Tamandua tetradactyla: one gene and its partner. The protein of the gene in region 1 interacts with the protein of each later gene in a pairwise test. Links are inferred from orthologs where the notes say so. Each region holds a gene or a part of one and is shown in the gene's direction. Other genes may lie near its edges.

Region 1 (7,538 bases):
GCTTAGGTTTGAATTGAATGCCTACTTATCACCTCTTAACATGCATGTAATATACTCATTTATTGTGTTGCTTATTGTCTGTTTCTCCCTACTAGAATATAAAAAAAGGAATTTTTAAATCTTTTGTTCTCTGCTGTATTCCTATTGCCTATAACAGTGCCTGGCACCCAGTAGGGACTCAGTATTTTTTCTGAATAAATATTTCCTGTCATTCTGAGCTTTGTGACCAATTTTCACCAAATCTAATTATTTCAGGGTCAAATTTTGTCAGTGACTGGGTTACCTACACTCTTTGAAGCCCAAAGCAGGGATAAACACAGGAGTATGTAATGTGTGAATTCGAATGCATGAGCTGTGGAAGGGATGCTACCAGGGAGAGAGGGCGAGATGCCAGAAGTATGGAGTCCAGATTCCAGACTTAACAGGGAATTAGAAGAAACTCTTTGGAAAGAAACAGACAGCCAGAACCAGAGAAAGTGCCTTATTTCATCTGCCAGATCCAAAGACAGCCTGAGAGAGTGAGCCTTTATGCAAGACAGCCTATTTCCAGAGAGAGACAGACAGAAGAAAAGACTTCCTGCTTGAGAGACAGACACAGAGACAGAGAGCAAGAAGGGGGGAGAACACACACACACACACACACACACACACACACACACACACACACACACACACGGGTGCATATTTTGAGTTACAAACCACCCAGATTCGGGGTAGAAGGGAAGAGAGGGGCATCCAGACTCACTAAGACAGAGGCAGAAACTTCAAAGTCCAAAGAGAAACAGAGAAGGCAGGGATGGGGACAAACACCCACCCTCAGTGTAGTAGTTAGTTTCAGGTGTCAACTTGACCAGGTGATGGTGCCTGTTGTTCTGTTGTTGACTTAAATCATCAGTATGTGAAATTCTATGGCCAATTATACCTGCGGTCAGCTAAGGGGTGTGCCCTCTGCAATGAGTGACATTTAATTTAATTAGCTGGAGGCTTAAAAGAGAAAGGTCAGGGGTGGTGCGACTTAGCTCAGTGGCAGAATTCTCGCCTGCCATGCTGGAGACCTGGGTTCAATTCCTGGTGTCTGCCCGTGCAAAAAAAAAAAGAGAGAGACAGAGAAAGCTCAGAAGAGCACTCAGCAACTCAGAACCAGACATTTGGAGATGCAGAAAGGAATTGCCCTGGGGAAAACTGTTTGAACCCAGAAACTGGGAGGGAAGACCAACAGATATTGCTGTGTGCCTTCCCATGAAACAGATAAAGCCAGAGGAAAGCCAGCTGCCTTTCCTCCAAAGAACTGTAAATTTGTAACTAAATAAATCCCCTTTATAAAAAGCCTGTCCATTTTTTTTTTTTTTTTTTGGTGTATTGCATTCTGGCAGCATTAGCAAACTAAAACACTCAGCAATAGAACAGCCCTGCTCTGCTCACCACCCTCAATGCCAGGTCTTCCTAGCTCTTCTTCAAATTGAAGAGATTGCTATGTGGTAGCTTGTCTCTAAAGATGACTGTCATGCATTTCTTTCTATATGCTACTCCCTTATCCAGGGGAGCCCTGAGCCACCATGTAAGAAGCCCAGGCCCTTCTGCTAGAGAGGAAGGCCATACAGAAAAAGACTCAAGTGCCAGTCATGTGCCTAAAGAAGTCTTGGACATCCAGCCCAGTTGAGCCTTCAGATGGCTCCAGCCCCAGCCACCATCTGACTGCAACCACCTGAGAGATCCCAAGGAAGAACCATCTAGGTGAGCCCTGCCAATCCATAAATACACGAGAGAGAATAATAAAGTGTTGTTTTAAGCTACAAGTTTTAGGGTGGTTGTTACACAGCAATAGATAGCCAGAACACCAAAAAAAGGCTGCAAGTGGCCCTTTTAAGGCTTGTGATACCAGCCCCCTGCCAGCCTCCCCTCCTCGACAAAATCAACAGCTAGCCAGGCAGACTTTCAGTCCCTTTAATCATCAGGTGCTCTGAGGAGATGGCAGGATGGTGGGAGGGGAGTGGAGAGGGAGGTGCTTCCAGAGCCCCACTCAGCAACTGGTTACTGCTCATCCTCTGGCAGCTGGATCTTGCTGGGGTCAAAGCAGTTGGATTCCATGAGGGGGAGGCCATTAGCTTCGCGGTACTTTACAAGCCTCTCCGCTTCCCGGCGGGCCCACTCTCGCATCCTGGAGATGGCAGCAGCAGGAATAGACAGGAGGGAGCCTCACCAAACACCAATCCAATCCCCCATCTCAGCTCCCCTTTCCCCAACAGTGCAGGAACAGGATTCCTGGCAGAGTTCCCTTCAACCCCGACCCTTGCCTCTGCTCCCCCCCACCCATCCCACTCTCTCAGACTTCCCATGTACCTGTAGTCAGGCAGGTAAGCCACAAAGGTGCTGCCAAGGACAAGGACAATGGAAAAGCCAAAGAAGAAGACGGCCCGCATGTTCCAGAGGTCCACAACAGGGTCCGTGTCATAACCATGGGAGTCTGGGTTCTGTGGCAGGATGATGATATCAATGAGAGCTTCCTGCTTTTCCATGAAGCCTCATGCTGGCCCTTTATAACCTGGTTTCCAATCTCACCTCGGACCAACATTCTCTCCCTCACTGTATTCCTCTCTTTCTATTTTTAGGACATGCCAAGTTTCTTCCCATCACTAGGCCTTTTGCACTTGCTGTTCCCTCTGCTTTTCTCCCAGATCCAGTCATGGCTGGCTTCTCCTCACTCAATTCCTTTAGGAGGTGTTCATTAATCACCTTATCGACTACATTGAACCATATGAAACTACCACTTAAAATGGTTGAACGTTGGTAATTTTCTGTGGTTTCAATCTAATAAGGTAATTCCCAATCTCCATGTCACTCTATCCCCTTATGCTGCTTAACTTTCTTTTCATTTCTTTCTTATGCTGCTTAACTTTCATTTACCATTATTTGAGATTATTTACCAAAGTAACATCTGCCCAGATCCTCTGTATCACATTATTGTATTACCTATTATATTATTCTATATTATTGTCATCCAATAGTTTACATGTTTATTTTTAAGTCTTCCCCCAACATCACTTAAGCTCTATGAAAGTACAGGCTTTGTCTGATTTCCACATTGCTGTATCCCTAGGACCCAGAACTGTGCCTGGCATACAGCAGGCCCTCATTACATATTTACAATGAGTAAAAAGTGAATAAGCGTTTTGCAAATCTAACTCTGTAAACCAGAAATTAATTCTGATGTGGTACCTATTATGTGCCAGGTCTTTTTACATATGCAAACCTCACAATATCCCAACAGGCAGAAAGTGCCAATAATAATTTACAGCTTCTAAAGCTGAGTACTTACCAAGTACAAGCTGCTGTTCTGACCATTTTGGTTAATTTAATTGCATGAGGCAGGTATAGTATTCTATTCTTTAGATAGTGTTTTTATTACTTCCCCATTTTACAAAGAAAACTTAGGCACAAGAGGTTGAACCACTTGCCCAAGGTCACACAAATGAGTAACTATTAAGTGTCTGGATCCGAACCCAGGCCATTTGACTTTAGAGTCTGTTATTAATACAGGACAGCAGACCAGTAGACCTAGGTTCAAATACCTATTTCCACCATGTATTCAGTTATGTTATGTTAGCTGAGACAAGCATCTAACATCCCTGCGCTTGTTCTCGCATCTGTAAAATGGGTATATAATAGTGTCTATCTCAAAACATTATTGCTTCTTAGATGAGCTAATGCATATAAAGTCCTTAGAACACTGCCTGGCAGAATAAGCGCCATATTGGTGTTTAATATTATTGTTGTTATACTATATTGCTTCTAACGTGGTTTGAGAATTGCCCACTTCAAGTTTGATTTCTGTCTGCAAAATAATGCCAATCCCGCATCTGGCCCTAGACCAGACTCTCAGGGGACAAATTAGGCGAACAAGCTAGGCAAAATTCATAGAGGATTTCGCCAGCTGCGCAACCTTCGGTCAACTAAGAACGTCCTCTACTGCGCTCCGTCAGCCTGCTCCCGATTGACCCTTTCGACGTCCTAGTTCCCCCTCCCTCTCACCTTCTCGTAGAGGTTTTCGTCCTCGGGATCCGGGTCCTCCTGCCAGCGTATGGTCGGTTCCCGAGTACGCTTCTCCGCCACGACAGGTGGAGCGACTACAGCCCGAGAAGAGCCGGATTCCCAACGGACACGGGCAGCCGGGAGCCCCCGCGTCGCAGCTGCAGCCAAAATGCGGCGAGCGTACAAACCTAGTTGCCCGACCGCCATGATAGATTGCTCCGTAGTAACTTAGGGGCGGGGACGGCAATGCGATTCTGCGCAGCTGCAGTTTGCGCGTGCGCGATATTTGTCGCTCCGCCGCCGCCGCAGTAAATAAGTCTCAGGTCTGATTTTCTTTTCAAATGAGGCGGGGCGCTGCGTGGCCCTCTTTCCCTCTCTCTGTCATGTCCTGGAGGGACCAACCCTTCTCTTATCCTCTCCTTCGGGCTGAGGAGTTTCTTATTGACAGGTCTGCTCTCTTCCTTGATGGGAAAAAAGCGGTGTCATTTGGGTGGTTCACAGCCAATCGCACAGCGAGTTCCCTTGCTGTTTGGGGAAGGGGCGGGGCTTCCGTTTGCCTTTCATCTTCAAAGGAAGCCAAGCTTCTAAGAAGCGGGCCTCGCGGGATTGACCAATGGCCACTCTTTTTCTCGACTTGCGGGCGTTCGCACGCGGGAGTGGGGAGGTGGCATTCGCTTGCCAATCAGAGGAGGCCAGGGTTGGCCGACCGCGGGCGGCGACCAATAGACGAGGACCGGCGGAGCGCGCTCCCTTAGTAGGTGGATGGTGGTCGAAGCACCGGTTCCCTTCTCGTCGTCGCCATTTTGTGTGGCTGTTTGAGATCGACTGGGAGTAGGTGGCAGTGGGTTTTCCGGGGAGGGTAGCGCGTCTGGCGCTTCTCCCTTCCCCTTTCTCCCCTCCTCCTCCCCTCTGCCTCCAGCCACGGACTTGGTGGTTACGCTGACCAGCTCCGGCTGAGCTGGGAGAGTTGGATGCGGTGGCGACGGGCCGAGGTGATGTCTGGGAGCCCTCCCGTGACAGCCCGGACCGAGAAGGTGAGCGTCGACGCTGGTCTTGAGGGTGGAGGTAAGGGGCTGGGAAACGGGGTGCGTAGAGGAGCGCAAGGAAGGACTGCGGGCCAGGGGCCTGGAGGGTGCGCGGAACTGAGGGATGAGTGCACAGTCTGAACCCGGGAGAGGGTGACTTTTTTTTTTTCCCCTTTGAGACCAAAGGCGCGTGCGCGATTGGGACCACGGGGATGGGTGCACGCGAGTTGGGGGAAGGGAGGGAAGGATGGGAGTGGGTTACTGTGGCTTACTGTCAGTGACGCTGGGCTTTATCCCTGGAGAGTCGGGTGTCTGCGACTTTAGTTTTTATCCACAGGGGAGGGGATGTGCTGTCTGCTCGGTCTATGTGACTGGTACCTGTCTATCAGTGGGGACATGTTTTGTGGCTCTGGTCCTTATTCGTGAGCCGGCGGGGGCTCATAGTTTGTACGACTCCGCTCTTTATCCCTAGGGTATGTCTGTGACTCTGGTCCTTACTCATGTGGGGTAGGGGGTGGGGGGGCAGTGTCTAGGCCCTAACCCACTTATTGAGTGTAGGGAGTGTATGTGTGGTTTATTGCCCCTTCTTTTGAGAGGTTTCTATCTGTGACTGTGATACTTATCCATTGAAAGGGAGCTCAGTGTGTGATTATGGCCCTTATTTATTGCGGGTCTCTATCTGTGATTTCTGCCTGTAGTTATTTGGGGCTCGTATCTGTGACTTTGGCCTCTATCTGTTGTGGCTCTGGTTCCTTTGCCAGAGCCTGTATCTGGGTTTCATCCAAGTGGACCCCTGGTTGTGATTCTAATCTTTAGGTATCTGGAGATAGGTAACTCTGGTTCCCTGTGGCTTGAGGAGGAAGAGAAAATTGGTGTGTGTATGCATGGGGAAAGGTGTGGTGGCATCCTAGTGTTGGGCAGGTGCTGTAACCGATAGGCTTTTCTCAGATTCCTGTTCACAGGGTGGGGCCTGAAGATTCAGGATATATCATGACCCTTGGCTGGGTCACATGGCTCCGCAACCCTCAGGGTTGAGTGAGTTGACTGACTGCTCCTCTGGCCTAGCAGAATAGCACAGTGGTTTGAAACAGCCTCTGAAAGGGCCCCTGTTACGTCTGAGAAGACTTGGGCCCAAACCCTGGGGAGAGAGCCACTTTGGGACCTGGCTGAATATTAGTTTGACCCAATTGCCCTGTGAGAGCCAAAGCTGAGCTGGCCAGGAGCCTAGTGAGACAGCAGCTATCTCGTTGCCAAATTAGCCCCCACCCCCCTCCTCACCCAAGAATGTTTCATGGTCTCCTTCCTGTCCCCTTGCAGAATCTTGTTAGGAGGACGAAATGGCTCCTGGGGGCCTAGAAGGAGCCTGGTGGATGCCTGAGACTCCCCTTGCTGTGGAGTCTCACCTCTGTACTTAAAGTGTCTATTCTGTGGCAGGTCATTCAGCGCTAAGCGCTCCCCTGGGCAGGCAGCTTGTCTACAAGTCTCAGGTGGCAAATCCCTGAATACTGGATGGGTGGGTGACATCACTACCCCTCCAGTCTCCGAGGTCTGTGGCCCCTCTGAGTGTTCCAGCTCTCTCTACAAGATGCTCTCCTATCTGATGACGGTCTTGCTATTTCTAGGGAGAGGGCTCTAGCCACGTGTTTGTGGAGAAAGGAAGAAGGAGGCCAAGCAGTAGTTGTATTCCCATTTTGGTCTACAGGAGTACTAGGAGTTGGAAAACAATGTCCCAGGCTAAAGAACAGCAAAATATCTGGACAACCAGAGTTTCTCAAGGAGACCTTTTCTGCCCCAGCTGCCTTGACCCCTTTCTTTCCTCCCATCTCCCTAGAGTCCCTACAGGAGGAATCACCCAGGCTGGCAGATCATGGTGGCAGCAGTGGGGGTGGCTGGGAAGTGAAACGGAGCCAGCGGCTAAGGAGGGGCCCCAGCAGCCCCCGCAGGCCCTATCAGGATATGGAGTATGAAAGACGGTAAGTTATCCTCCCCCACTCCTACAAAGCAGTTTAGGCTTGTCCCCAAGTGAGCATTGGTTCAGGAAGATGCTAGGAAAGGCCTTGCAGACAGAGGAAATAGCAGATGATTGATTTATTTTCAGTAGACATTTGACACCTTTTGTGGGCCAGGAACTGTGCTAGGCTCTAGGAATGCAGTGATAAATGAGACAAATAAGGTTTCAGCCCTGTGTTACTCAGGGTCTCACAAGGGAGATGGTACAGTTTGCAGGTGATTACAATAAACACAGTGGATTCCATGGTTGGATATGAGGTTGGGAGGGGATCAAGAAAAAGGTAGGAGTTGAGGCTGATCCCACATTTCCAATTTGGTTGACCTGGATAGGTATGTGGTGTCATTTACTAAGTTGAGGACAGCTGCTGCAGGAAGAGAGGCAGAGGTTGGGGTCAGATGAGTATTGGGTTGTAAGTGCCTGTGGGTCAGGAGAGAGATTTGGAAGATGGGTAGGGGTGGGACTTTCAGAGTCAG
Region 2 (7,210 bases), on another chromosome or scaffold:
GAAGATACAAATTTCTTCATACTGGATGGAAGGAGGAGAATCCTGTGCCTTATGTGCTTCATAAGTGGAACAACCAGTTCTCCTTCTTTTCATCCTCTCCCATAACAGGGGAGAATGATGCCTCCTAACCTCTTGAGAGCTTCCCTGGCGCAAATCAGGTGGCTTCTCAGCTTTTCCCATTATCAATTTAAGGTTCAACCCTCTCGGTTTTACAAAAGAAACGATCACTCATTCCTAACTTTTCTGCTTGCATAGTTTTGTTTCTGTTGTCTTCTATCCTATTTTCTTTGTTCTTGTCTGTATTTATCTTTTTTACAAGCTCCTTTCTGTTATTTTATTAGGATTTCTGGAGGGAGTGGAGGCAAATGCCTAAATTCAAACTATTATCTTAATCTGGAAGCCAAAAATGAGGTCTTAACTGGTCTTCATGCACCTACTCTTACTACTGTATATTCCATTGACCAGCTGTAGCAATCTTTTGAAACGCAAATCTAAGATGTAACCTCCCTGCTTAAAACAGTTCACTGTTTTCCAGTACTCCTAGAAGAATGAACCATAATCTTCAAGAGAGTCTGACTTTTTCTTGCAGCCTCATGTTTTCCTGTGTGCTCCTGTGCACTCTATCCACTGTGATCCTCTTCCTGTACTTTTAATACCAGAGAGACTTTACACTTATCTGCCTGGAACTCTCCTCCTTTTCTCCTTACCCATGCCCAGAAATTTCCCTTAACATTGTTAACTTACCTTCCTTCCTTCTAGCTCATTCATTATTATTATTATTTTTTTTTTTGGTATGCTGGATGGTGAGGGTTACATTTCATTCTTTTCCCATTTGAGTATTCTGTTATTACAGCACCATTTGTTGAATTTTTGGGGGGGTGGGGGTGGGGGGGGGGAAGTGCGTGGGCCAGGAATTGAACCCAAATCTCCCACGTGGCAGGCAAGAATTTTAACACTGAACTATCCTAGCACCCCTTCATTCATCAGTTTCTAATGGTATCCCTCCTGCCTTCCTGACTAGGCCAGGCCCTCCTATGAAATACTTTCACAATACCATGTATTTTAGAGCACTTATCCCTTTGGTAAATTTACATTTAGATGTGCAATTCTTTCATCTGCTTTCCTCTCAGTGTAGTAAAAGAAAGGATTATGTCTCTTTTTGTTCATCATTTCTCCTCAGTACCAGGTGCTCTGCCTGGGCCATTGTATGCATTTACTACACATTTGTTGTAATGGAAAGAATAAACCAAAACTTGCTTCTTTCCCTTTATTCTCTAGCTTATTAACATCTTTCAAACTTTAAGGGGAACTCTGTGCTTTCTCTCCTCATTTCATCCCTGGGAAGGCAGCAGAGGGTCAATATGGGTTATGGCTGGAACCACAAGACCTCTGGACATGATCCTAAAGGACAGAATTATTTGGTGCATAATTGATATGGCTTTTTGAATTATCTTTTTTGGGCTTTTCCTTACATTCTCCTTGTTTGGAATTTTTTCTTAGATACTTCTTCCTCTGGCCTTCTTCGTTTTCATCAAACTGAGAGTGAATGGAACACAGCGAAAGAAAGCCTAACTAAAAGGAGACATCCTATTTCACATGTGGTCCTGACCACTTTCCCAGGAATGAGTTTGACAACTGAGATTTGGGGGCCAAAGCTTAAGAAATAAAATATGGTGATTTTACCCAGTATTTTCTCCTTTCTGCATATCTCCCATTCAGGATCCTTATCTCTATCTTTCTCTCCTGGAAGCAAGACTCACATTTATCTCAGGCAAGAAGTTATTCAAGATATTGAACACACAATCCACGTTCAGTAAATGTCAGTAGATTGAATGGAGGTCAAGTGTAGAAAAGGAATGAAGATCTTGGATAACATCAAAGAACTGTAAGGCCAAGTGATGCAAATACGTTCATGTGGATGTTGAAGAGCTATAGGAAGGGTGCATCTGAAAACTGTCTGAAACCAAAATCATTCAGGAGGGTAGATGGTGCTGTAGTTGTGATAAAATGCCTGGGGAGGCTGATTAACTGCTCACACAGAGTCACAAAGTCACCGGTGCTCAGTGTGGCCACCATGTTTCATGGTATAGTCCTCTCTTTTGCTGTTTCAGAAACATAGCTTTCTCTCTTTTCCCCCAAATGATTGGTTTTTCATGCAGAGACACTGAAGGCACAAAACCTCCGCAGTAATTGAAATATCATGTGGGAAAACCCAATTACCATGACTGGAATTTTCTTTCTTTCTTTCTTTCTTTTTTTTTTTTTTTGATTGTGTGGCATGTCCTCAAATCCAGTTATGATCATCTGAAAAATGTGGGAGGCCAACTAGAAAAGCCAGACATTCAATGTAGAAAAAGTCTGTGTGATTATGGGGGCTGATGAGCCCAGAACGATGGAGAAAGCAATGAGAAGCTGTCAATGTCTAGTTTAAGCCTGTTCAGGGGAGTGTCTGTTCTGGTCATATTTGGCCAGAGGAGCCCTCTAGCAAGTGTTCATGAAATGATAGCTATTGTTTTTGTTAATATGGGTAAGGATGTCTCCAGGTAGCCTTAACTGAAAAACATTTTTTGAGATTAGGTAACTCTTTGTGCTCTATCTCCATTCTTAGCAAATAACTTTCTGATCATTTGACTCCATATTGAGAATGCATACGGGCCAGGAAAGTGCTGGTTGATCTGAAATGATCTCAGATTCACTTTACTAGTGTTTCTTCTTTGGATTTAATGTTGATATTCTGGAATTTACATTTTGCTTTTGTGTGCTTGCTATTAAAGGGAGTCTGCCTCAGAATTCTTCTGTGTATTATAGTACAGTAGCCACTGGAGGCAAATCACTAGCATTCAATTCTTGGCATTACCTTGTACTATGTGACATTGGGCGAGTTATGCAACCCTCTATGCTCCCTTTCTCTTATTTGTAAGACAGGAAAAATAAGAGTACTGATGATAGTTTAAGAATAAAGTGAAATACTGCAAAGGGACTGATACATAACACACCCTCAAAAGCCCTTAAGGTCAGTTTCTTGAGCAAGACTGGGACCAAACACTGAAGTATGGGGAATAATCAAGGTAAATACTACCTAATCAATGTGACCAGCTCCCAAAGATGACTTCCTCTGCCTCTCTTTGTATCACTATGACAGCTGAAACAAGTGGCTAACAGAATCGTTCCAGATATTTGCATATATTAATTTATTCAACATTCCTTACAACTCAAAAGGTAGGTACTATTGTTATTCTGTTTTACAGATGAGGAAACTGAGGCATAGAAAGGTTAAGTGATTTACCCCACTCTGGGAACCATATTTTACTCACTTGTTAAACTACCTCGTTTCTCACAAACATATTAAATTTGAGAATGATTATTTTGCTGTGGGAGAAGGATTCAAAGCCCATTTGCTCACTCATCTGTGTCAATGTTTTAAAAATGTCATTTCTGCTTTTTTAGTAAACTTTTAATCAATCCATAAATGCATTATGTAATTGCATGGGCTTTTTATTAGATACAAATAATAATATAAAACCAAACATAAGTTGTTCACCAACTACTACATAGCAGGAATCAAAGAATTTGTACTTGTTCCTGTAATTGTGCTTTTCATTCCCCAATTTTCAGGACTAACACTTCTGTTCTCGTCTCAAAATACCTTAGGGTGGGAAGGATAAATTTATAAAGGCCCTTCTTCACAAAGTTACTAATACCCATAAAATTGAGAAAGAGCATTTATTAAGCCTTTGGGTGTTGTTACCATACCTGGCGTACATCTAAGGCAGTAAAATAAACACTTCTGTGGCCTTTTACAGTTTACACAGAGACTTTCAGAAGATGCTTATACCACATGGTAACAAAAGCATCAAAAGGACAAAGTAATCGCCAACTTTCCTCTTCTTTTGCATCTCTTTCTTTAACTCCTAGGAATCCCGAGCTTTTGTGCAGGAGGTATTCACCGGTTAATTTCTTCAAAAGCCCCCTCTGACTCCAACCAGTAGACCCTTTGTTTCCGAATTTCGCCTTCCCCTGGGCGAAGCTCACCGGTTGGCTGGAATCAGAACATGCGCGGAAGTTTAGCAAATTCAGGGCGGGTTGGCGCGTTTGCCAGGCACCGCCTCCCTTCCCCTAACAACTGGAAGCGGCGCGTGCGTACACGGGGCCTCCCGCCGGGCTGGTGGGTTACGTCTGGTGTGCGCATGTGCAAACAAACTGTACATCCGTTTGTCCCGACCGGAGGGGCGAGTGGGCGCCATCTTCTTCTAGGTTTGTTGAGGGCTCTGCCGGTTCTGCGGAGGCTGCTGCGACGAGGAGCGCCCGCCACCCCAGCCTTGTGTGTCCAACTCGGCAGCAGTGGTGTGTGTTTATTGCCAAGTGCGAAGCAGTTACCCTTTGGGTGTGGTGGGTGGGGAGGGTTGCGACGAGGACGAAAGAACAGGGAAAGGCGGGGCCGGTGGCCGCGCCATGATTTAGCGTAGCTTCAGCGGTTAGGGCACCCTCTTTTCTAGCTGAACACCACCTCTCGGGTCTGTCTCCGTACGGTGGTGTGTGTGTGCGTGCGCTTCCCAGTGACCTTGACAGTGAAGATCTCGAAGGATTTCGTAGGTATTTTTTTGTTTGCTATGTCATCGTAGTCATTAGAGGCAGGAAAACGCCTGGCTTGTTAAGACTTGAGAGGGGCGAAAATATTTCAATTAGGTTTGGGTACAGTTCATCCTGTGGCGAGTTAGCTTGGAATGTGAGCCTTTGGGACGGTGTAACAGAAAGGCACCGGAGGTTGGGCGGTCCAGGTTAATTTGAAGGCTGATTTTGGCTGAAGGCTTGGCGACAGCATCGGATCCCACGTAGCAACTTTGGCCTGGCGCGGAGGAAGTCCTGACCCCTGGGAGTGTGGACAGAGGCTTTGGGCTATAGAATCGATGCCTTCCGATGATCCCCGTTTGAGGATGATGGATGTTATGGGAAATCCTGTGCCATGTGGATTCGTCTTCATATACAGTTCATATTGGGGACCATGGCTCTGTGTCGTCATGCCTTTATTTTAACCATCTACGTGTAAAAAGGCAGATCATCGTAAAGAATAATTGTGGACTCGGGTAGATTTTCTGCAGGGGAAACTCGCATTTAGAATTTGGATGTTCTTCATCATAATTTTGGGTTTTAAAAAGTAGTCACAGGCAAACAGTAAAAGGTTTTCTCTCCCTCACCATGTCTGGAAAATGACTTGTTTGTTTGTCATTTAAAATCAAATGGCTCTGAGATAATGCCTATTAATTCATTCCCCGTTCTCTATTTCCTTATTAGTCTTTGTGTTGTTTTAGTAATAGTGATTTCCTTATTAGTCTTTATTTTGTGTTGTTTAGGAATAGTGGTGATTAAGTTGGATGAACCGTTGGGTAAAATCAGCAAAAAACACTTAAAATGAGCTTATTAATTCCAGTGGCTTACTCTGATATGAGCCCTTAGGATCCGCTTCATTCTTTCCATAGGTTTGTAGTTCTGGCAGATTGCTGTGTCTTTAAATCAACTCAGAGTCACTCAAATACTTTCGTTGCATTCTTTAGAAAATTTGTAAGTGCTGAGTACTTTAGAGTATTTTGTGTATTTGGCTTTCGGTGTAATCTAATGTTCTAAGTAGAATTTCTGGAGAATTTGCCTTAAGGAAATAGTATATGGGAATCATTGGAAGAGTGCTCATTTTGAGAGCTCATGTCTTACAGGTGTTCTCCTGGTTAGAGAAACAAATTACCCTGCTGTCCGAAAGGCCAAAAAGTCTAAGCGTTAGATAAAACTGGAAAATTAGAACAAACTTTAGTCTGCTTGAGTTGGAATTCATGAGATACTCATGTGATTGCTTAAAACATAGTTTCTAAGCTAGGATAAACTAATTACTGGAGATTTTTTTGTTTGACATATTATTCTTTGAGACATTTGCCACTAATTTTTCTGGTAGAAGAATTTGTGTTCTTAGGGCAAATCCCTTTTTAAATATTAAAAGTGCTTAGGGTGTACAAAATGGTGCATAACCAGTATGCTTTCTAAAATATTTTAAAAGTAAAAAAGTAGCAAAGTCAATTTGCATAGGAGGGAGTCTTGGAAATTTAATGTGTATAACTGTTTCAGAAGACATAGATTTTGTCGAAATGTTGGTGTGGATATTAATTTGTTGATGAAGCTAGGCTTATACTTTTTTTGGGGGGTACCATGAACATATTTTAATCTCATTAATTAGATATTGATAATAATTCAGATGTAGGAGTGCCAAGTAATTTCTTGGTGTCTTTATCTGTTTAGCTTTTAACAGTTTTAAAAGTAGTTTTAAAAGTGTAGTCTATGGCTCCCTTTTAAAAGAAAACAAACCTTACAGATCTCAAAGAATGTCTTCAGAATCCATTTTGAGGCACAAGGGTACTTAAGTGTAAATATTAAACTGCAGCAAAATTTATTTGCAGATTAAAAACATAAATTTATAATGATTAATTTAGTAAGTCTTAACAGTTTGACAGTACCTCAATAAGTATTGTTAGTTGTGTATCCCTGAGAGTATTAGATGTATGTTTCCTTAAAAAGAATAGTAAATTGAGTTTTTTTTTAAGTAGCTGTATTGTTAATTACCACATGTTCCAAGTTAATGTGTTTTTATTATATTTTTTAGTTTTCTATGGTGTCATTTGGGTTTCCTCGTTGGAGTGCTAGTTAGTTGTTTGAATGGGAATAAATTTATTGGCATGATAAGATTCTATAATTATCTCAACATTTTCTATCTAGCTTGGGATGAGTGTTAATAGTTATTGTCTTAGGAGTTTAAGACAAGAAGTGATATTGAGAACTTTGATTTTAGAGATATTTTACTATTTTCCTCAATTACATTTTAGATCAGTTTTTCAAATGCGAAGAAGAATCAAAAATTTGATTACATGTTTGGAAATGTGAGCTGTATATATAAAACTTAAAATTCTATCTAAATGGTAGTCTGTAATTTGGATTTGTTATTTTAAGAATGATTTTTGAATTTCAAGTGCTGGTAGTTTTTGCTCTTATGTATTTAAAGGGAGAAGGTGGTAGAAGAGTTGTACATAAATACGATCTAGATGTTTGGTTTTTTGTAGGTGAAAGTAATGGAAGGTTTTTTGGACTTTTTTTAAATGGCTATAAAATATATAAACAATGCAATGCCCAGATCTTAAGGTAGAATTCAGTGAGTTTTGATAAATTTATACAT

The links. The genes of interacting proteins can lie anywhere in the genome.
Region 2: the proteins of RBM10 (region 1) and RBM12B interact in a two-hybrid assay, tested with the Homo sapiens proteins (3 studies listed by BioGRID). The link is inferred for Tamandua tetradactyla from reciprocal best matches to the Homo sapiens genes RBM10 and RBM12B.

What each region holds. Positions count from the first base shown.
Region 1 is NC_135353.1:123,092,605-123,100,142, reverse strand, and holds the start of RBM10 (RNA-binding protein 10), read left to right. Parts: upstream 1-4,480; 5' UTR 4,481-4,783; intron 4,784-4,948; 5' UTR 4,949-5,000; coding exon 5,001-5,094; intron 5,095-6,885; coding exon 6,886-7,027; intron 7,028-7,538. Other genes in the region: NDUFB11 (NADH dehydrogenase [ubiquinone] 1 beta subcomplex subunit 11, mitochondrial), read right to left, coding at 2,032-2,158, 2,341-2,471, 4,030-4,236. UniProt on the Homo sapiens protein: Binds to ssRNA containing the consensus sequence 5'-AGGUAA-3'. May be involved in post-transcriptional processing, most probably in mRNA splicing. Binds to RNA homopolymers, with a preference for poly(G) and poly(U) and little for poly(A).
Region 2 is NC_135332.1:137,057,934-137,065,143, reverse strand, and holds the start of RBM12B (RNA-binding protein 12B), read left to right. Parts: upstream 1-4,187; 5' UTR 4,188-4,362; intron 4,363-7,210.